6 linked regions of the Xenopus tropicalis genome follow. The protein of the gene in region 6 interacts with the protein of the main gene of each other region in a pairwise test. Links are inferred from orthologs where the notes say so. Each region holds a gene or a part of one and is shown on either strand. Other genes may lie near its edges.

Region 1 (3,500 bases), on a different chromosome or scaffold from region 6:
AGGTTGAGAACCACTGCATTAGACAATCTGTAATTGATCTTCATTTTCTAGTTATGGTTTTGATTTATTTAGCTTTGTTGTTTAGCGGCTCTTATAGGGTCCAATTTACCTTAGCAACAAAGCATTGGCTTGAATTAGAGTCGCAAGCATGAATAAAACAGAATAAACACAATAACAATAATATTGCAGCCACATAGAGCAATAGTTTTTTGGTTGCAAGTGTCAGTGAACCCCATTTGAAAGCTGGAAAGAGGCAGAAAAGGAGTTATATTATTTAGCAATTATAAAGAAATTAAAAAAATTACAACCAATTGAAAAGTTGTTAAGAATAATCCATACTATAATATACAAAAGTTAACTTAAAGGTTAACTACCTCTTTAAAAATTAAACTGATATATTACATTACAGTGCAATTTAAGTTCATTTCTTGCTTTTAACACACTCTCACATCTGAATATTTAAAGTTCTTTCAAGTTTGTTGAATAGAGAGAGACTGAATAGGTATGTGAATGTATAAATCAGATACATCAGATAAGAAATGCAATTTAAGTGAGCTATATTAGGATAGACAGTGTAACAGTTCATGGTATTAATGTTTCATTCTAAGGTAAACTTAAGAGAAACCATTTTTAGAAATTATCATGTGCAATAAAACACTTAGGGGCTGATTTACTAAGACACAAATTCGAATCCGAATTGGAAAAATTCCGATTGCGATTTTTTCGTCGCCATTACGACTTTTCATAAATTGTCGCGACTTTTTCGTAACCATTACGATTTGCGCGAAAAGCCGCGACTTTTTCATAACCGTTACGATTTGCTCGTATCTTGTCGTGACTTTTTCGTATTGAGCGCTTGTAAGCGGCGGGCGAAACTTTCAGACTTAGCATGATTTTGGAAGCCTCCCATAGGACTCAATGGCACCCTGCAGCTCCAACCTGGCCCAAGAAAAGTCACCATACTGAAGCTTGAATGAATCCGAAACTTTCGTACTCAGCGCGAAAGCTGCGAAAAAGTCGCGACAATTCGCGCAAGTCGTAGCGATACATTTTGCGAAACATTCGGAATAGCTACGAAAAAATCGCGACAATTTTGCGAAAAATCGCAAAATACAGATCTTTACAAAAAAAACCGCATTCGGACGCATTCGGCCAGTTTGTGCAATAGTAAATGGGCCCCTTAGGGGCCCATTTACTATTCGTCTGATTTTTTTTTTTCTAATTCAGATTTTTAGTGCCGAAAAGTCACAGAAAACAAAATTGCAACATTTTTGAGATTTACTATGCGTCTAAACAGCTAAAAATCCAAATCCGATAATTCGCCAGCTAAAAATTGCCAAGATCATGTAGAGGCCAGCCCCTTTCCTGAAAGATCCTTCTTTTGCCTTGAAACTTTAGAGGTGTCAGATTTTTTACACTGGCTTTTATGTGACAATGCAATAAAATTCTAGTTTTCAGGGCGACAATTCAAAAAAGTTACAGCTTCTGTGACTTGTAAGTTCATATTTTTTAGTAAATGTCAGACATTTTATAAAATTATGAGAAATGTATGAGTTTTAGTAAATCTGCCCCTTCATGTAAATATTTTTAAGACATCTGTATGTTTGACCCTATTGTACAGTGCTACATAAATTAATAATGTAGGTGGGGGTATGCCATTCAGTGACAAGGGGTGGGGGCAAAGTAAAAAGCAAGAAAGGTACCTGCCTGGTGCCCACCGTCATTGTGTCCTAAGCAGTTGCCTCTCCCTACCCCAGTTCTAGCCCTAAAACAAAATCCCTAAATTAAGGCCTGGAAGGGAACATTGAGAACTTGAAACCGTTTATCTAATGGTATGTTCCACTGAATCTATTTACAATTTACAAATCAATATAATTGTTTCGTAAAGATGAAAATTTAAAAATATCTCACCTCATAAGGAAGATACCGTTTAAAATGCAAATATTTTTGGCCAGTAAAAGGGAACTCAACTGTTCTTTCTTTAAGTCGGCGATACTTTTCTTGCAAAGGAATAGTGAGCTTTTTTGTTGGAGGTTTCTTGGGTTTCTTTTCTGTAATTAAATGCTTTCTGTACTTCTTTTTCTGTCTTTTTCTCTTATGTTTTTTTTTCATTTTCCTGAACCGCTCAAAGATCTTTTCCAAAGGGACATTCTTTGGTAATGGTTCAAAGTCTGAGGAGTCAGATAAAGATGACAGTGGTGACAAGGGTTTGGGTCTATTTGCAGTTTGTCGTCTCCTGGTTCTTGAAGGTGTGCAGGTAATTTCAGTCTGGAATAGGCTACTACTGGATTCAGAACAGCTAAAGAAAGAAAATAAATGAAAACACTGTTACTGGGATAAAAATTTAAAAAAGAAAGGACACTAAGCTCATGGGTGCACTGTTACCACCTGGATACAGCAGTAATTATTTTGGGAGAGTGCATTTGAAGTGCTTAAAGAGCTGGGTGCATCCCACCATGTGAGCAGGTAGCCCTCCAGCTGTTACAAGAGGAGAACTGCCTCCACCTTTGGATTGAAGTCTTCAGGAAAATCTAGAGAGGCACCTTATGATACACGTTATTTAATACTCACAAAAAAAAAAACCATGTTCCTTCACATGGGTAGGTGGCCCTCAGTTGTCAAAGAACAAGAATTGCATGCACACTTGGCTGAAGGTAGTTAATCTGGGATAGCTGGAGGACCACTGTATGATATATACTATGGGATAATTACAAAAAAGCATGTTCATCATGTGAGTGGTGGACCCCATCTTGCACCCTTGCCTGGAGATAGTATATCAGGGACAGGTGGAGGTCAGCCCTTTGATAAGTGCTATTGAATACTGATGCAACAACAAAAATGTTGTTTTATGTGAGGAAGTGGCATCCCCCAGCATTACAGAACAAGAACTGTATGCACCCTTGGCTGACGGTAGGAAATCAGGGACAGCTGGAGAGCCACTGTCTGATGATTACAAAAAAGAATGTTCCTCCATATGAGTGGTGGCCCTCTGGATGTTGAGAACAAAAAAGGCATGTGTCTTTGGTAGGAGCGAATTGTTGCTCTGTGACAGCTGAAGGATCATCTAGTTACAACAGTTGGCTCTCTAGCTGTGATTAAATCACAAATTACTCAATATAAAAGTTGCCATACACAGGCAGATTTAAGATACCGATTAGAGTCCTTAGCCCTAATTGGCAGCTTGTCTGCCTGTGTATGGGGACCCAGACATGCCTCCCCGACCAATATCTGGCCAAAAATCAGGCAGGTTTGATTTTTCTGGTTGGATCAGGGACCGCATTGCCTCCTATACCCGTTTTTGTAATCCCATCATTTAACCCTAGCCCAATATCACCCACTTTAGGTGGGCATATCGGGAGAAGATCTGCTTGTTTGGTAATGAGAGAGCTAGTGATTAGAAAAAAAGGAAGGGAGGGTTCTGAAGATTGGGATTTCTGTGTTTTAGAAACTGTATCCTGGCAAGCTAAAAACTGTAGTAGCTTTTTTTTTTTGTATATTCT
Region 2 (4,277 bases), on a different chromosome or scaffold from region 6:
GGTGTTGCTCTCAGTGCCCCCAAACCAGGGAGTTATTTTGAATTCCTGACTTGGGGGCAAGTTTTGGTTGAATAAAAACAAGATTTCCTACCAAATAAAGCCCCCTGTAAGCTGATAGGGTGCATAGAGGCCCCTAATAGCCAATCACAGCCCTTATTTGGCTCCTCCATGAACTTTTATGGTGCTTGTGTTGCTCCCCAAGTCTTTTTACATTTGACTGTGGCTCATGGGTAAGAAAGGTTGGGGATCCCTGCACTAACCCATCCCTTTCTCTACCAGACAGGGTCGCCTCTCTTTCAGACTGATCACCCCTTTCACTTTCAGCTTGGCCTGCTTGTCCACCCATCCCTTCCTCTTCCAGGCTGGGCTTCTCTATCACTCAGCCATATCTGTCTCTCCATCATTCTGGGCTCCTCACTCTACCAGACTGATCATCCCTTTCTCCATCAGGCCCCGGCCCATTTATTCCAATCTGATCTCTTTCACTTTCAGGTTGGGCTCCTCTGACTCATCTGCACATTCTCTATCAGACTGTTCTTCTCTCTATCAGACTGTTCTTCTCTCTATCAGACTGTTCTTCTCTCTATCAGACTGTTCTTCTCTCTATCAGACTGTTCTTCTCTCTATCAGACTGAGCTCCTTTCACTTCACTGTTCTTTCTGCCTGTTCTTGTCTCTCTATCAGACTGTTCCCCCTTCCTCTTCCAGGCTGGGCTTTTCCATCACTCAGCCGTATCTTTCTCTCCATCAATCTGGGCTCCTCACTCTATCAGACTGATCTTCCTTTTCTCTATCAGACCGATCTTCACCCTCTATCAGACCGATCTCCTCACTCTATCAGACCGCTCTTCTCACTCTATCAGACTGTTCTTCTCTCTATCAGTCTGAGCTCCTTTCACTTCACTGTTCTTTCTCTCTGACTGTTCCCTTCTCTCTCTATCAGACTGGACTGCTCTCTCTATCAGACTGTTCCCCTCTCTCTATCAGACTGTTCCCCTCTCTCTCTCAGACTGTTCCCCTCTCTCTCTCAGACTGTTCCCCTCTCTCTCTCAGACTGTTCCCCTCTCTCTCTCAGACTGTTCCCCTCTCTCTCTCAGACTGTTCCCCTCTCTCTATCAGACTGTTCCTCTCTCTCTCTCAGACTGTTCCTCTCTCTCTCTCAGACTGTCCCCCTCTCTCTCAGACTGTTCCTCTCTCTCTCTCAGACTGTTCCTCTCTCTCTCTCAGACTGTCCCCCTCTCTCTCAGACTGTTCCTCTCTCTCTATCAGACTGTCCCCCTCTCTCTATCAGACTGTTCCCCTCTCTCTATCAGACTGTTCCCCTCTCTCTATCAGACTGTTCCCCTCTCTCTATCAGACTGTTCCATTCTCTCTATCAGACTGTTCCCCTCTCTCTATCAGACTGTTCCATTCTCTCTATCAGACTGTCCCCCTCTCTCTCTATCAGACTGTTCCATTCTATCAGACTGTTCCCCTCTCTCTATCAGACTGTTCCCCTCTCTCTATCAGACTGTTCCCCTCTCTCTATCAGACTGTTCCCCTCTCTCTATCAGACTGTCCCCCTCTCTCTCTATCAGACTGTTCCCCTCTCTCTATCAGACTGTTCCATTCTCTCTATCAGACTGTCCCCCTCTCTCTATCAGACTGTTCCCCTCTCTCTATCAGACTGTTCCCCTCTCTCTATCAGACTGTTCCCCTCTCTCTATCAGACTGTTCCCCTCTCTCTCTATCAGACTGTTCCCCTCTCTCTATCAGACTGTTCCATTCTCTCTATCAGACTGTCCCCCTCTCTCTCTATCAGACTGTTCCATTCTATCAGACTGTTCCCCTCTCTCTATCAGACTGTTCCCCTCTCTCTATCAGACTGTTCCCCTCTCTCTATCAGACTGTCCCCCTCTCTCTCTATCAGACTGTTCCCCTCTCTCTATCAGACTGTTCCATTCTCTCTATCAGACTGTCCCCCTCTCTCTATCAGACTGTCCCCCTCTCTCTCTATCAGACTGTTCCCCTCTCTCTATCAGACTGTCCCCCTCTCTCTCTCAGACTGTCCCCCTCTCTCTCTCAGACTGTCCCCCTCTCTCTCTCAGACTGTCCCCCTCTCTCTCTCAGACTGTCCCCCTCTCTCTCTCAGACTGTCCCCCTCTCTCTCTCAGACTGTCCCCCTCTCTCTCTCAGACTGTCCCCCTCTCTCTCTCAGACTGTCCCCCTCTCTCTCTATCAGACTGTTCCCCTCTCTCTCTATCAGACTGTTCCCCTCTCTCTCTATCAGACTGTTCCCCTCTCTCTCTATCAGACTGTCCCCCTCTCTCTATCAGACTGTCCCCCTCTCTCTCTATCAGACTGTCCCCCTCTCTCTATCAGACTGTCCCCCTCTCTCTATCAGACTGTCCCCCTCTCTCTCTATCAGACTGTCCCCCTCTCTCTATCAGACTGTCCCCCTCTCTCTATCAGACTGTCCCCCTCTCTCTCTATCAGACTGTCCCCCTCTCTCTATCAGACTGTCCCCCTCTCTCTATCAGACTGTCCCCCTCTCTCTATCAGACTGTCCCCCTCTCTCTCTATCAGAGGGACCATTGCTCTCAGGCTGGGGCTGGCCCCTCTCTCCCCAGGCAGGATGGCGGGGTTAGCCGCCCCTCACCTCCAGCACGCACGCCGTTTCCCCAATAACAATCTCTTCCTTGTCCTTGGGCGTTTTGACGGTGACACGAATAAGTCCTTTTCCCGGAGCCGGCCCGGTAGTACCGGAGGCCGCACCATCAGCGCCGCTCTCCGCCATCTTCTCTGCACCCGCCCACCCCGAGGAGGAGCAATAGGAAGGAGGAAAGCCGCGAAGAGAGGATTATAGGCTTCCTATGACTGGCAAAGCGCCGACCGTTCTACTTACCTCTTCGCCGCATGGTGACACCTACCGGCACGGAGGACGAATCACAGGCACTGAGGTTCCAGCTGTGCTGCGTCATGTTCTAAATCAGGTGACACGCTCACCCAATGAAACGAGAGTATGAGGGCGAGGCTTGAAAATACGGAACAATAACACGCCACACGACCAATTACAAACTATTTGAATTTATTGGATTTGCGTTTCACGGCCTAGCGTTACCTTGGCAACAGCTAATCCAGTGTCTTGTTCGGGACATTTATATAAAGGAACCCTGCAGTTATTTGGACATCCATTTGGGTGGAAAGGATTCTGTGAAGCTTTTATATGGATATTGTACGAGATACGGCATTCTGAGCTCGCCGGACTACATTACCCATCATACCTAGCGCCTACTTCCTGGGGAGGCGGGCTGTGGGATTGCTCATGTGACCGCGGCCCTGTGACAGGTTAGGCTGCAGCACTGAGCGGAATATGTTGCGGCCCAAAGCGCTCACCCAGGTTCTGAGCCAGGCCAACACCGGGGGAGTCCAGAGCACCCTGTAAGTACCGGAGCCCCCCGAGTAGCAGGTCTTTTGTCTGCCTCGTCCGCTCTTGGCTGCCACAGTGCCAGTGCCTACAGAGCCTACAACTCCCGGCATCCTTTCCCTACATCCTGCTCCCTCATTTCAGTGCATTTATCCTGGCCTATTGCTCCCCTCCCTGCAATTTGTCCCAAAACTGCTGCCATACTCCAGTGCATTCTTACATCCCTGCCCCATGGCGTTACCTTCCGCTTATTTGTCCTATACTTTCCCCAATGCCTGCCAGCCTCCCTTCCCTTCCCCAATGCCTGCCAGCCTCCCTTCCCTTCCCCAATGCCTGCCAGCCTCCCTTCCCTGCCCCTCTGCCTGCCAGCCTCCCTTCCCTTCCCCAATGCCTGCCAGCCTCCCTTCCCTTCCCCAATGCCTGCCAGCCTCCCTTCCCTTCCCCAATGCCTGCCAGCCTCCCTTCCCTTCCCCAATGCCTGCCAGCCTCCCTTCCCTGCCCCTCTGCCTGCCAGCCTCCCTTCCCTGCCCCTCTGCCTGCCAGCCTCCCTTCCCCGCTGCCTGCCTGCCAGCCTCCCTTCCCCGCTGCCTGCCTGCCAGCCTCCCTTCCCCGCTGCCTGCCTGCCAGCCTCCCTTCCCTGCCCCTCTGCCTGCCAGCCTCCCTTCCCTTCCCCAATGCCTGCCAGCCTCCCTTCCCTTCCCCAATGCCTGCCAGCCTCCCTTCCCTGCCCCTCTGCCTGCCAGCCTCCCTTCCCTGCCCCTCTGCCTGCCAGCCTCCCTTCCCCGCTGCCTGCCTGCCAGCCTCCCTTCCCCGCTGCCTGCCTGCCAGCCTCCCTTCCCCGCTGCCTGCCTGCCAGCCTCCCTTCCCTGCCC
Region 3 (4,014 bases), on a different chromosome or scaffold from region 6:
GGGAATTATATTAAATGGACAAAATCAGTGGCAAATGGCAAAGAAATCTGGATTAAGGGTGAAAGGTGAAATGAGGGTGATATAAAGAAAAATATAGGAAAAAAGTTAAGATGTGAATTTAGAGAAGTGGAGATTATATAAACGCCTTTAAATCAAATATCCTTATACTGCCATACTGTCTAACTATGCTACCACAAGTATTTTCTTGTCCCAAAATGTACTCCTTAATGCCATTTTTTTTTTACCAATATACCATGGCTTCTCAATTAATGCAATTGAATATTCTGCATAACCTCACAGTCATGAACAATTAATACAAGGGACAATTTTAAAGGGCATGTCGACCCCAAAAATAACTTTTTGCATAAGAAAAGAAAACATAATTCTAAGCAATTTTCCAATATGAAAAATAGTTAAAAATTTGTAGCGCTTTAAAAGTTATTTGTAAATGTAATTGCTATTGAAAGCAGCATTTGCTGAACTCCTGGTTGTTACTTTCTAATCAGTGTTGCAACTGTCTCCTCCAGCAAGTCAAGTCTGTCAATCTGCTGCCTTGTGTTACATTGTTTCAACAGTCAGAGTCACCAGGGTAGAGAATAGAAAAGGACAGGCAAACACTGCTTTTTAATAGCAATTATAAATACAAATTACTCAAAAATCATTACAAATTTGTAATAAATGTATATTGCAAAGCTGCTTAGAATCTTGTTTTCTTTTATTAGGCAAAAATTATATTTTGCGTTGCCTTGTCCTTTAAGAGATCATGCAACATGTCAAGTGTCCAACCTTCTGTCTTCAATCTTTCAGCTTCTGCTACATCCTCATCACAAGGGGAGGCCAGGCCAGAATTAACTTGCGGAGAGTCCTGAATTTGGGAGGAGAGAAGAAGAATGCTTTAATTAACAGCGCATTAAGTTACCATTTTCCCAAAACTATGGTCTAGACAGCAAACCAATCTTTCTTCTTTGCTAGTTTTAAGTTTCAGTTTACAAAACGGTAAGAAAGCTTAGAATGTAGAGCTACAAAGTCTTATAGTAAAAGCTGTGATTAAAGGAGAAGGAAAGGCTAAATCACGGAGGGGTGCCAAATGTTAGCCCCCCCCCACCAGTGATTGTAATCTCTTACCTGATACCTGTGCCCGGTGCTCCTGTTAGGATGAAATTGCACTGGCCCAGGGTATATGCAAGCTAGCTTTCCTCTTCCTCCTGTCTTCTTTCTTTATAATCCCAGGACAGACACATGCGCAGTTGAGCGGAAAAGCTGGCTTTTCTCTCTACTGAGCATGTGAAGAAGGATCACTAGCTCACATACACACCAGCCATGCAGTTTTCTCCTAAGAGGAGCACTGGTTGGGGGTTTTAGGCAAGCAATTACAATGATTGGGGATGCCTAAGACTTTGGCCCCAGTAACTGTAACTTTCCTACTCCTTTATGTTATCAAGTTTGTAAGAAAGATGAAATATGGTATGTAGACTTTAAAAAGTTTAGAATTTCGCAATTCATTTTTTTCCAAAACAATGCCATTTCATGTCAGTCAATAACTAATTACAAGGATTACCTGACATGTGGCTTCTGTAAATATCTCTTGGAGACTCCTTGGTACAGCTAAGTTACTGTCTTCAATGGAAACCTCAAAGGCTGTCTCCAGGCACTGAATAGCAACTGTAAAATTCAAATTACATAATGCTTCCATCTAGTAATTATACACAAATATATTTAAAGTAATCCAATAGTTCCTGCATTCAAGCATCAGAGAAAGACCAGAAGACTTCCCTGGGATGGAACACTTAATTCATTCAATGCAGGCTTGCATTGAAAACATTTGTGGACTAACATTCACAATATTAATTTACAAACTTGTACATTTTCATTTTTTACAGTTATTAAATGAATGAATCAGGGTGTAATTGAGACTGATCAACAGAAACACTTCCCCACCAGAGGTGCAAGCTAATACAACAACCAGACAGCAGTTTGGAAGTCACAATGGATGATTAAAAGAAGATGAACAGAAAAAAAGATAATCAAACTAACAATAAATCTGAACTCTCACATTCATTCAATTTTACTCGCCCAGGTCAATGATCTCCAACAACCAGAGAGCATTTTCAGTTGCAGGCTGAAAATTGTTACATTAATAATTTAAAAAAACAAAACATTCATAACACGTTATACACTACATAAAAAATCTTAACTTACTCTCAACATCCTGATGGGCTATTTGGTAGCCCCAAATGGACTGCTAGCCTGCAGGAGGCTCTGCTTGGAGTAAATCTGTGTCTGGCTTTCAAACCTGCCTCCAAGCCAGAAATTTTAAAATGGGCACCTATTTTGAGGCCGGTGGAAGCAACATCAAAAGGGGTGGTAAGCAACATGTTGCTTGCGAGCCACTGGTTGGGGATTACTGCCCGTATGCATGGTAAGAAGCATTTAGATATTAGAATGCATTTAAAAGTACTGCTCTCCATCCTCTGGACTACTGCCTGTTAAACTTGCACTTCAAGTATCTGGCAGTAGTTCAGTAGCCCCAGGTGGGTGCAGGCTGAATATCATAAGTTTTATGAAAAAGCAAGGAAAAGAAAAAACTATTTTGTCTCATAAGAATAGTTCCCCCATCAAATAAACAGAAAGATAGAATATGAAGTAACAACCAGACCTTCCAGGCTCTCCTGTGCATCTGAGGAAAGCCCACCATTGCGTAACTGGTCATGTAAATGCCGAATAATGGAGAAAGCTAAGCGTTTTTTGTCAGCCATTGGATTTGTGAACACTTCAAGTGACAAGGTCCGACTCTGCAAATAAACTGGCATTAAAACATAAACAATGTCAGTGAATATGAATTCATATCTGATAAAAAAAAAAATAGATATATTTTTCCAGGTACCATTCAGAATCACCAGTCTTTGCCATTTTATCATTAAGCAAATATTCACAAGTACATTTATACAAATGATTAACAATGCACCATTCTCTGCAGGCATATCCAATAATGTTCGTCATTTTTAGCTCCCCTTGTTCAACAAATACTGTTGTTTAGAGCGGCCACTGGATATGCCACAGGTCTCAAAGGAAAAAGAAAACAGTGTTTATGTACATATGGTCACCCACAACCCATATATCTAGGGCCACACTTATACACATTTTCAATATTTCCACCCAGTTAACAGGGTTTGTATGACATACACACACTGTATTATCTTCCAAAGGTAGACTTCAACATAAGAGCTGCAGCATCTGCTAAAATACCTAGTATTTTTATCACTACGGCATAGCACTTTCAGAAACACCACAGGTCCCTTACAAGACAGGGCATATTTGCCCCTGGGCGTAACTCCACGGAAACCAATCAGATTTTTTCTTTCCCAACCTTCAGCCAGCTGAAAACAGCTAATCACTGATTCGTTGGCAAGGGTTACTGCCAAGGTGCAATTTTGCCCAGTGTTGATAAATGAGCCCAGTGTTGATAAATGAGCCCCAATGACCTTTCCATTGCATGGATGATTAATCAGCTGAAGAATTTTAGGGAAAGCCCAGTTTAAGGGCTGTGGCACATGAGGAGATTTGTTGCCAGCGATTTTTAAAAGAGCGATTTGGCGACAAGACGAGCGACAAGATATAAATCAATGGAAATCGCCAGCGTCAGCTTCAAATCGCCTGCTGTTTAAAATCGCACACAGACCCTTTTCTGAGCGACTTGAGTAAACATGAGGGGGGGTTGACTGTTGAGTGTACCATGGGTAGCAGATCGCCTGGAGCTCAACTCGCATGAAATCTCTTTGTGGGTATTGTCGTGGCGACTTGTCGCCAAAGCACCAGGGGGAAAAAACGCAAATCTCCTCGTGTGCCAGAGCCCTAAAGGCAGTAGCGGTCAGAAATGTGTCAAATGGATGGTACTGTGTCAAATGGATGGTACAGACGTCAACAATGCTGTTATCAGCACATACAGGATCCTGTGGTTCAGTAATGGCTGAGCGGATGCAGACAGGACACCCAGACCTAGGCAAAGTCACCTCC
Region 4 (3,500 bases), about 140 Mb from region 6:
CCCCCTTTAATCGATTACGGCCGGGCCCTGTCATCCGATTGGTCGCGCCCCGTGCATACATGTGAAGAATCAGCAGCAGCAGAAGTCGACGATGACGACTTCGGGAGGCACTGTCTATGGGGGGCACTGTGTATGGGGGCACTGTATGAGGCACTTGGTGGCACTGTCTAAGGGGGGCAATTGGGGGCACTGTGTATGGGGGGCCCTGGCCAGCCTAGCATTAGGGGGCACTGTGGTAGGGAGGCCCTAATACATTTTAGGTCTGTGTCCTTTGCACTAATGGGAGGGGCCCTGGGGGAGGGGGGGCAGAAAATTTTGTTGAGGGGGCCCCATGATTTCTGATCGCAGCCCTGCTTTACACTATAGGACTGTAGTGAAAATGCATAGGGAAAGTTTCAGCCATATAGTCTTAGAACAATGGCGTACAAGACTGAAATTCCCATCTTATTCTCAAATTCCTTTCATTCTCTCCATTTTTTTCTCTAACCTCTTTATACAAGGAGTACAGAAAAACAATGGTTTGTATCGTCTTTCCAAGTCCCATCTCATCCGCCAGGATGGTGTCGGTTCCTTGGGCCCAAGAGAATCGCAGCCAGTTGAGTCCCTCCAGCTGATACATATGCAGTGTGCCGCCCGTGCTCGATACAAACTGGGGTTGGGTATCATACTTCACTGTAGGCTGCAAGGGAAACATACACAAGCGGATACTTTATCCCACAGATTAACCATGGTGTGAACTAGAGTCCTGAGTAGAACCAATTTTGAAACCCAAACCCACAACTCGCATTTCTACCCGCTTGGACCCACTACCCGACCCCCAACTTCCTTATCAGCAAACTGATCCCCTGACCACCATTAAAACAGGAAGTGCTGTTGCTGCAAACTGGAAGTGATGTCATCACTTCATCAGTGGACGGGGGGGGGGGGGTGAAAAAAAAAAACGTTTAGAAAGAGTAAAATATACATAAGAGAAATAGAGATAAAATAAGATAACATAAGAAATATAGATAGACCCGTGACCTGTCCCATTCGGAAATCCTACCCATAATCTGCAGGATACCTGTTTTCATTGGGTCATTGCTGCAGGACAAATACACGTGGCACTACCTGTCTACTAGTGATGTGCAGGATGAGAAAAACTTGACCCCCCCCCCACTCGATCCTAACCCTCCAGCAATTTTAGGTTGTGGGCAGGGAGAGTGAGTGGAAGAGCTCAACCTGAACCTACCCACGACCCGCAAGTGATGTGCTGAGGTTGGCCCGAACTGACCTGACCTATTGGTATTTGGCCGGGCCGCACATCACTACTGTCTACCCCCTTACACACTACTACTATTATGCCCGAGGGTTGGGTGGGTTCGGGCCAACCTTTGCACAACATTTTCTAGATCCAGGTGGGTACGAGTCGAGCTTTTCTGCTTGATCTTCCCACCCGAAACTTTACACTAGCGGCGTGAGCGTGCCACACCCCTTTTGTGACATCATCAGTGGGTGGGGCTGGCGCCGGTCCAGTTTTACTCTACCCACGCATCGCTACATGACAGATACAAAGACCATAGACACAGAGCAGGCTTACCCACCTATATACTACAATACCATGATACGTGTGGACAACACTTACGTCATTTATAGGAGAGCTGGGGACCCCGTGTAAATAGGATTCCTTATGTTGTCTCTTGTATTTCTGAGGGCAGCAGGCACTATCTCCCATCATCAGTTGCCTGAAAGAAAGAATTGGAAGGATGATTGCCAGTTTATCACCACCAAAAAAAGGAGGTAATGTGTGGCTCACAGGTATACTTGACTATATACAGGTATAGCTTTACTACCATTGCTGGTTGTACAATGAGCGGCCATTATAAAGGGGATCTAACCTAAAACATTAATTGATGCAGACTTAATCAGATGGTTCCCCTGAGCACTTTGGCAATTTATAGTAGTTTTCTCTTTTTCTGATATATTTGCAGTTTTAGACCACTAACACCAGGCTTTTACTCTTTTTAAAGGTTAAAGTTTCAGCGACCCTTCTAGTGATGTGTGGGTGAACATTTTGTGGACCCACACCCGACCTGCTGCCTCCCAACCCGATTCCAACCTGACCTGGCAATGTACCTCTATTCATAGACCCACGCCAGACACGCCCATTTCTGATGTCACAAAAGGGACTGGGCGGGGCAGGCGCACACCTATAAATAGAGGCTTCCAGGTCCAGAAGATGGGCAGTGTAATGTCACAGATGGGGCGGGCAGAAGCAAGAGGACAGCCCAGACCCATCCACGACCCAACAATATGGTGCGAGTGCTGATATTAATAGTTTAAAACTGCTAATATTTCAGAAACCACTATGAAGAAAAAATTAATGTAAATTGCAAATTATTGTAAACTGTTTCGATCATTTCATTTCTTGGGTTTAGATCCCAAGCGCAGTAATAGCCGAGAGGAGGAAGGTGCCTGGTAATCCGTGAGGATGAAAGAGAGCCCCCCAGCAAACAGACTTTACCTAAACCATCAAGCTGTACCAACAGTTAGGGCCCTCCCAGAAATGATATAATGCTGCCCCTTTACTTCTAGGAGACATACAAGCGGAAGATTCCGGCACTGCCATTTCTACCTGTGGCTTTCAATGGTACCTGTGCCTCCAGTACAACGGCTTGTGGTATTCATAGTCTGGCAGCTTCATGGCATCCTCCTCCCACGTGGACTGATCATAGGACAGGTCTCGCCATTTCACAAGGTAGTGATAGTTCCCTCGCTTATCCAGACTGAGGAGAGAATGTTGGGAAGCATAAATGGTGCACAGACTCGGCAAGTACCAATTACATACAGATTAAATCAAATTAGGAGCCATCCGCAGCATATGGTCTCCACAACCTGAAACAGTGATTGGTTGATGTGATGCTCCTCCCTCCATCTATTAGTTGAATAAGTTCCTATCAGATACTGATCTATCTACTATCTTGTCCCCATACAGCAGTGCCTGGGTATAGTCACCTTTAATAAAAATGCCTTGTTTAATAATCCTTTACACATCTACAGGCAGGGAGGTGCCCATCTATGACCATATGGAGTCTCTGGTACCATTTTCTATCAACAGAATTCTGGCAACCCAAGAATGAACTAATTTGTAGCCGTAAATTCAGTGATCGATTGGCCGCAGTAAATTGGGGTTTTGTAATAAAATGTACTACGTTTGCCCAGGAGCAGTAACCTATGGCAAACCAATCAGCAGGCAGAATTTTCTGGTTATCTGTTTAAAAGCAAACATCTTACTGATTGCTATGGGTTACTGCTCCTGGGCAAACTTACGGGGTTATGTAATAAAAGACACTAAGCTTGCCCAGGTGCAGTAACCCATAGCATCCAATTAGCAGGTAGAATTTAAAAGTCACCTGTCTAAAAGCAATCATCTTATTGGTTGATATGGGTTACTGCTCCTGGGCAAACTTAGTGCCTTTTTATTACATTTGGGGGTTAGTGTCTAATGAAATATGGGGGGGGGG
Region 5 (4,153 bases), on a different chromosome or scaffold from region 6:
TGACGTCACACGCACACACGCAACCTTATAAAAGGGCCTGGCTCCGCCGAACAAGGAGCCGCATATAGAGAGGAGCCACTGAAGGAGAAGCAGCAGCAGCATGTATGGAGGCTCTGTGTATTGGGGGGGGGGGTACTGTGTATGGGGGTGCTACTGTGTATAGGGGCTAATGTGTATGGGGGCTACTGTGTATGGGGGCTACAGTGTATGGGGGGCAAAGCTGATACATAGTTATAACTCACTTATAACTGTCTGCCTTCTTTCTATATTTGTATTTTATATGTAGGAGTTGCTATATTGTTTTCCTTAGGTAGTACAGTATACAGGAGAGTATAGCACATTTGCGTCTGATCCCGCCATTTCATCTACTTGTAGATTGTAAGCTCTTTTGGGCAGGGCCCTCTTCACCTCTTGTATCGGTTATTGATTGCTTTATATGTTACTCTGTATGTCCAATGTATGTAACCCACTTATTGTACAGCGCTGCGGAATATGTTGGCGCTTTATAAATAAATGTTAATGTAATATACAAAAGGAGTATTTTTTAAAAAAATGGGGTGTGGTAATTGGGGCGTGGCCACTAAAGCGGGCGTGGTCAAAATCTTTTTGTCCCTCTTTTCATTTTTCAAATGTTGGGAGGTATGGCACTACTATATAGGCAGTGCTGTACAGCATAACAACACATTCAAAAACAAGTAGGGGCCATTAATATAATAGATAAAGGCAGAGTACAATTACAAATAAATAAAAAGTACAGTTGCATTAAATATTCCACAGAGCTAGATGACGTGCATGGAGGTCCCTGCCCCACAGAATTTACAATCGAAGACTATTGAAACTAAAGCTTAAATTATATAGAAGCGTGCCGTGTTGTATTGCATTCTCATGTAAAGTTCTGATTGCATTACGCACATTAACAATCATGTCATTTGGGCGAATTTAAAATTTGCTCAAACACTGCTGTGCTGTTCTTTTATCTTTCTTCTCTATTGACATTATTGGCGTCAAGGCAATTTTTACAGACCAGGCCATAGCCATTCAATGTAAGAAAGCACATAAACGCGCGTTCTATTTCCCGAGGTGCAGGATCAGTCGTATAAAACCATAAGCACGACCATTTACGTATTACTATTGGCTGTACAGCTAAGCATGTACGTTTGCCATGTCTGTGAATATCATTGGACAAAATCACGCGGAAACTACACAGCAAAATCTTCTTATTGGTTATTTATATATGCGTGTCTTATGACGTGCTCCGTTGTAATTGGTTGCGGCGCTGTAGTATTACGTTTGCTTCTGCTTTTCGCTAAATACTCCTCGTTGTGGTGAATGTGAAAATTGAGAAACTTGTCTGTTCCTCGTATCTGAATCATGAAGGTCTGCTATAAATCCACTACCGGTGTTTGCTTCTTAATATTTTACCTGATGGTCATTGTCAGCGGAGGGTAAGGATCGCGTTATTTGCAGTGGTTACCCTTTCATTTAACAGGATTGCATTCATAAAATGTAAATTTGGATTAAATGCAGGCTTCCTTGAGTGGCTGTTTGTAACTTTAAATTTTGACTTTTTGTTTAACCATTAATGTATGTTTTGGCTATTTTATTATAGTTCCTGTGTGTCAACCTGTTTCCACAGACTAGATTTATATGTCATATACTGTATATTACATGTTAGTATGGGACCGAATTTGTGTAACCAAAGGTCTTCCACCATGTTTTTTTTAATTACTTTCTGCAAAAGTCCGAGTATGCTGTAAATCATATTTCACAATGGAGATTTTAAAAAATTGCATTTATGCCAGTGACATGCAGAGTGGGGAAATTAAAGTAAGTAAAATGTAGTGATTGGTAAATGGAACATTTTTTGGTATTTTGTACTATAGATGAAGGGGAAAGTGATAGGAACATAGGGAGAAAGTGATGAGAACAGATATGTCTATGAAGATTTTCATTCATCCAGGTCATGGTATATCTAGTATAAATAAATTTAAAGCAACTGGACTTGTTTGGTAATCATTGAAGACGTTTCACTACTCATCCGAGCAGCTTCTTCAGTTCAACTGACTGGTATGGGAAGTCCTCAGCATATATACTCTAATTATACTTATATACTTCAAGAGTATTTATGCTGAGGACTTCCCATACCAGTCAGTTGAACTGAAGAAGCTGCTCGGATGACTAGTGAAACGTCTTCAATGATTACCAAACAAGTCCAATTGCTTTAAATTTATTTATACTAGATATGATGAGAACAGAGTGAACAAGATGAGGGAAGCAGCAAAAGAATGTTTAACAAATTGAGCTTTAATATTTTACAGTAGATCAAGAAAAGCCTGGTGTTTTGTTTGGTGACTGTTAGTGAAGGTGCAGATTTGGCAACCATTCGTCATAAAAATATTATACAGCAACACTTGGCATTTCCATTGTTTAAAGTAATATGGAATAGATTCATATAATTATTTCATTGTTTTTACTATCTAAATGCATATTATAATGTATAAAACACATTTAGAACAATAGGTCATGAACAATAGTTATGTAAGCCGAAAGTAATGTTAAAACCCGAAAACTTTGAGTTTGAACGGATGTTTCCATGAATCCTCTTTATTTTTCCCAAACAGGAATTACTCCAGCAGCCATTTTAGGAGAATTGGCGCACATTCAAGTTTCACTTGAAACTGGGTGAAATACAAAACAATGATGGGCTTAACTTCCACTTGAAAACGTGTGAAATAGAAGTCAATTAACTTCCCTTTGAAACTACGTGCAACAGAAAACAATGAGGGGGATTAATTTACACTTGAAACTGGGTGAAACAGAAAGGGGGTTTACTTCTCCTTGAAAATGTGTCAAGGACAAGCTGTCACTGACTATTCTATTTTTCTTCTAATAGGACCCAGTGATACATGATAGATCAAACCTGCCTGATTTTTTTTTTTATTACCCCCCTCAAAAAAATTCATAAATCACAAATGATGGGATTATTTTCGTAAAACTCTAATTATACGGGAAACAATATCAGAAAAATCGAGTACTGGCAAAAACCCATTCGTAAATCTGATCGTAATTGCAAATGATGGTGTAGAATTCTGCTGTTAAGAAGTTAAAGGAAATGTATACCCCCAGAATGAATACTTAGCCAGCAAATAGTTTATATCATAATAAGTGGTGTTCTAAAGAATCTTACCAAACTTTAATATATTTCAGTAAATATTGCTTTTTTTACCTTGAGCCATCATTTTGTGATAGTTTGTGAGCTTCCTTAGAGATCACATGGCCAGAAATAATGCAGCTCTAACTGTTACAAGAAATAGTGTTGGAGTAAAAGTCAGAATTTTCTCCATTAATTGGCTGACCTAATATGTATGTGTGCCCTTGGTTTATTTGTGTGCACCGTAAATTGTATGATACCAGGGGGTGGCCCTTAGTACTTATAATGGCAATTTTCTATTACCCAATGGCACATACTAATAAACTTTTATTTATAAAAATGGTTTATTTAGTTGGACAGAGTTTTACATATGAGCTGTTTTATGCAATATGTTTTTATAGAGACGTACATTGTTTGGGAAGTATAGTTTTCCTTTAACTTCCTTCGGCCTCCACTCTAAAAAGTGCAACAATACAAGAATGTAATTCTCAGTAACATTGAATTTTTTTATTGATTTTATTTTTTTTTGTAATTGCAGTTGAATGCATTATTTGCTTATCCCAATATCCCCATCACCTATTTGTTTATCCCTTTATATGCTCTGGCTCTTAAAATAGAGTAACATAAATAAGTTATCCTCCAATTCTGTTAAAGGAGACATTTTATATAAAGTTCATATTCAGTTCTAATATTCATCCTCCCTCAAAATGTGAAATGATGCAGAAAGAAAGATGTTTTGAAAGCATTTTTCCTCCTAAAACTGGCATTATATGAGAGCAGCATACAAAAGAGAGGAGCGAGTAGAGCAGGAATGGACTGTCTGTGAGCTCACTAAGCCCCAACCACTCTATGAATATTCACTTCACTTTAAGTAGGTGAGGAGGGTGTCATAGAAGTCTATGAGGGCCGGTGGCTCTGAGTGATATACTGAAGAGTCTAAACCGGAAGCTGGCATAAGGTCTGGGTAGAGCACAGTTTTCAAGCAGTTATGGACATATTTGA
Region 6 (3,500 bases):
AGATATCATAAAACTATGGCACATAGGGATTCCCCTGTACTAAGCACAATTCAGCAGGAACAGCCCCCTAAGTTTGCTCATAGCCTGTACAGAGAGATACCATAAAACTATGGCACATAGGGATTCCCCTGTACTAAGCACAATTCAGCAGGAACAGCCCCCTAAGTTTGCTCATAGCCTGTACAGAGAGATACCATAAAACTATGGCACATAGGGATTCCCCTGTACTAAGCACAATTCAGCAGGAACAGCCCCCTAAGTTTGCCCATAGCCTGTACAGAGAGATACCATAAAACTATGGCACATAGGGATTCCCCTGTACTAAGCACAATTCAGCAGGAACAGCCCCCTAAGTTTGCTCATAGCCTGTACAGAGACATACCATAAAACTATGGCAGCATAGGGATTCCCCTGTACTAAGCACAATTCAGCAGGAACAGCCCCCTAAGTTTGCTCATATCCTGTACAGAGAGATACCATAAAACTATGGCACATAGGGATTCCCCTGTACTAAGCACAATTCAGCAGGAACAGCCCCCTAAGTTTGCCCATAGCCCGTACAGAGAGATACCATAACTCTATGGCTGTATAAACATTTCTCTATACTAAGCAGGTGAATATAAAGCAGCAGGATCGCTATAAGAATTACAGTCCCGGCAATAGAGGGAAGCGCCACAGCCGGGGCACAGTATTTACCAACCCGCTTATCTAAGAAAATGAGCTGAAATAATAGGGCAGAGAAACCGACACGAGCCATACGTATCATTTTATGGAGCACAATAAACCCCCCGCACTGTATAATAACAATAACACGATCACAATGAGCTTCCATGGAACCGGCGCTGACGTTCCAACCATTCCAGCCAACGAAGGGTAAGTGCTCCCCGCTTTTAGCTTCACAAATTGCCCCCCAGGTACAGTCTGGCGGAACATAAGCGCGGATTGTTCCGTAATTCCTGCCGGGTAATGATGATATAAAATAGGGGGGAAATGGAATAAGCAGCATTAAGGGAATAAATATGTATCGGCCCCCCCAATGCATGACCTTGAAACGTAAAATCAACGCATTGTATTGTACAATCTACAGAATGTAAAGGGTTAAAGAGTTTTTAGTAGGATGTAGAGAGTCATATTCTGAGACAATTTGCAATTGGTCTTCATTTTTTATTATTGGTAGTTTTTTTTAAGTTATTTTACGCTCTCCCGTTTTGAATTTCATCAGTTATCCTGTTGCTAGGGTCCAAATTACCTTAGTAACCAGGGAGTGGTATGAGAGAGAGAGACGGGTATATGAATAAGGTAACAATAACAATAAAACTGGAGCCTCGCAGAGCAACAGGTTTTGGCTGCTGGGGTCAGATATCCTGTTGCTAGGGCTCAAATTACCTTAGCAACCAGGGAGTGGTTTGAATGAGAGGCTGGTATATGAATAGGGGAGGGGCTGAATAGAAATATAAAGAGTAAAAAGTAACAATAAAAATAAAACTGGAGCCTCACAGAGCAATAGGGTTTGGCTGCTGGGGTAAGTTATCCTGTTGCTAGGGCTCCAATGACCTTAGCAACCACGGAGGCGTTTGAATGATAGGCTGGTATATGAATAGGGGAGGGGCTGAATAGAAAGATAAGGAATAAAAAGTAACAGTAACAATAAAACTGGAGCCTCACAGAGCAATAGGGTTTGGCTGCCGGAGTCAGTGACCCCCATTTGAAAGCTGCAAAGAGTTAGATGTTTTCTGGTTGCTAGGGTCCTATTTAACCTAGCAACCAATCAGTGGTTTAAAAGAGAATATGAATAGAGGAGGGCCTCAATAGAAAGATAAGGAATAAAAAGTAACAATAACAATAAAACTGGAGCCTCACAGAGCAATAGGGTTTGGCTGCCGGGGTCAGTGACCCCCATTTGAAATCTGGAAAGAGTCAGATATCCTGTTGCTAGGGCTCAAATTACCTTAGCAACCAGGGAGTGGTTTAGATGAGAGACATATGCTCCAGTTTAGCAATTTCCCCCCCCCCCCCATAGTCACATTTATACGGAAAGGCAAAGCTAACCCTGCCATTTCCCCCAGAATTCTCCTATAATCAGAGGAAGGGCTGTGCGGCGTTTATTAGGAATGGAGCTGCCACACTGGGGAAGCCTTTCGAGCCGCAGTTTGTGTCTGTGGCCACTAGAGGCACCATCTCTCTGCTCTCCCTGCTTTCCTTTCTACTTGGTTTAGTCCCTGTGAAAATAACCAAGGACTCCAGGGAGCCTGACAGTAGAGATCAGGGTACAGTCCTACATGGGTCCATTTTCTGACCCAGACCTGCATTTTTACCTGATACCCACTAATGCCTTATCCACAAACCAACCACTGGCCTAGCCAATAAAACACCCCCCAAGGCTGGGGTAGGTATTACAGATTTACTTGACCCACCCAGTTAAACCCTGATCAGCCCCAATACTTGCTTTCTGTTAAAGGGGATATAAACCCTTCTGCACTGCTCAACTTTATTTAGTTGTATCCGGACTACAAATCCCAGAATAATGTAACATATAATGAAGGCTGAGGCATGCTGGGAGCTGTAGTCCAGCAACATCAGGGTTGGATTCTTAAAGCAATATTGCCCAATAAAACTTTCCCCCAAATCCCCCAATGGGAATCCCAGCTGATGTGAGTAAATCCGGCTCCCTGTTCTCTGTTCCTGCAATTGGAGTTGGGAGCAATAAGCACAGTTTCCCAGCACTGAACAAGTCTGTCCCTTTATCCCCATGTCTGATTCCTGTGCCATATAATGACGGGAAAAATGCCATCATTATCTCTATATGTAAGGTACCAGCAAGATGGCCGACACAGTGCTGGGAATCAGCATTCTCATTGGTCACTTCTCCTGCATTTATAATGAGATATTTAGTCAGTAGAATGCTCATTGGAGAATTTTCTTGCATCTATAATTACATGGGAGAAAGGATCCCTCCTATGGCAGACAGTAAAGTCGTACTGTATATTCCAGTAGCCACAAAGCGGCTCGGGCGCCTAAACACCACTTTATAGATGGCGCATTGTTGCAGCTCATTAGTATTAATATTTATGCCTCTGGGTCAGTCATTTCCCAGAAGCACTTGCAGCGCTGATCAATAATTCAGGGCGTGCAGAATAAACAGGATAATCATGTCAGGAGGCAATGGATTCCCTTTCCTGGGAGGGGAGCGTCGGCTCAGAGTGTAATGGAAGCTGGACGCTGACACGCGGCCAATAAGCACAGGCCGGGGCCCTCTCCCCGTGTGACCCCAGGAAGCACAAACTGATGGCAGCAGGGAGAGACGGGGCACAATAATGTTCATGGCAAGGGGAGAAACATTCCGGTTGCAAATTGGGAATATACCATGTGTGACATAAGAAGGGGGGGGAGACTCACCTTGAAGTTTTGGTTTGGTGACCTTCCCGCAGGGCTTGGACAGGGTCACGGTTTTCTGGCACTCGGCATTGTGCAGGGCTCTCTTCAAGCTGCCGGTCCTGGTT

The links.
Region 1: the proteins of ptn (region 6) and taf1d interact in a two-hybrid assay, tested with the Homo sapiens proteins (2 studies listed by BioGRID and IntAct). The link is inferred for Xenopus tropicalis from reciprocal best matches to the Homo sapiens genes PTN and TAF1D.
Region 2: the proteins of ptn (region 6) and ubqln4 interact in a two-hybrid assay, tested with the Homo sapiens proteins (2 studies listed by BioGRID and IntAct). The link is inferred for Xenopus tropicalis from reciprocal best matches to the Homo sapiens genes PTN and UBQLN4.
Region 3: the proteins of ptn (region 6) and sgta interact in a two-hybrid assay, tested with the Homo sapiens proteins (2 studies listed by BioGRID and IntAct). The link is inferred for Xenopus tropicalis from reciprocal best matches to the Homo sapiens genes PTN and SGTA.
Region 4: the proteins of ptn (region 6) and chd3 interact in a two-hybrid assay, tested with the Homo sapiens proteins (2 studies listed by BioGRID and IntAct). The link is inferred for Xenopus tropicalis from reciprocal best matches to the Homo sapiens genes PTN and CHD3.
Region 5: the proteins of ptn (region 6) and dnajb11 interact in a two-hybrid assay, tested with the Homo sapiens proteins (2 studies listed by BioGRID and IntAct). The link is inferred for Xenopus tropicalis from reciprocal best matches to the Homo sapiens genes PTN and DNAJB11.

What each region holds. Positions count from the first base shown.
Region 1 is NC_030678.2:100,288,672-100,292,171, forward strand, and holds part of taf1d (TATA box-binding protein-associated factor RNA polymerase I subunit D), read right to left. Parts: intron 2,300-3,500; coding exon 1,912-2,299; intron 1-1,911. UniProt on the Homo sapiens protein: Component of the transcription factor SL1/TIF-IB complex, which is involved in the assembly of the PIC (preinitiation complex) during RNA polymerase I-dependent transcription.
Region 2 is NC_030684.2:133,265,887-133,270,163, forward strand, and holds the start of ubqln4 (ubiquilin-4), read right to left. Parts: upstream 2,801-4,277; 5' UTR 2,776-2,800; coding exon 2,638-2,775; intron 1-2,637. UniProt on the Homo sapiens protein: Regulator of protein degradation that mediates the proteasomal targeting of misfolded, mislocalized or accumulated proteins.
Region 3 is NC_030677.2:99,258,909-99,262,922, reverse strand, and holds the start of sgta (small glutamine-rich tetratricopeptide repeat-containing protein alpha), read right to left. Parts: upstream 2,801-4,014; 5' UTR 2,757-2,800; coding exon 2,657-2,756; intron 1,663-2,656; coding exon 1,559-1,662; intron 866-1,558; coding exon 787-865; intron 1-786. UniProt on the Homo sapiens protein: Co-chaperone that binds misfolded and hydrophobic patches-containing client proteins in the cytosol. Mediates their targeting to the endoplasmic reticulum but also regulates their sorting to the proteasome when targeting fails.
Region 4 is NC_030679.2:146,918,622-146,922,121, forward strand, and holds part of chd3 (chromodomain-helicase-DNA-binding protein 3), read right to left. Parts: intron 2,763-3,500; coding exon 2,631-2,762; intron 1,722-2,630; coding exon 1,622-1,721; intron 680-1,621; coding exon 488-679; intron 1-487.
Region 5 is NC_030685.2:43,695,059-43,699,211, reverse strand, and holds the start of dnajb11 (dnaJ homolog subfamily B member 11), read left to right. Parts: upstream 1-1,353; 5' UTR 1,354-1,371; coding exon 1,372-1,445; intron 1,446-4,153. UniProt on the Homo sapiens protein: As a co-chaperone for HSPA5 it is required for proper folding, trafficking or degradation of proteins.
Region 6 is NC_030679.2:6,056,056-6,059,555, reverse strand, and holds part of ptn (pleiotrophin), read right to left. Parts: coding exon 3,397-3,500; intron 1-3,396.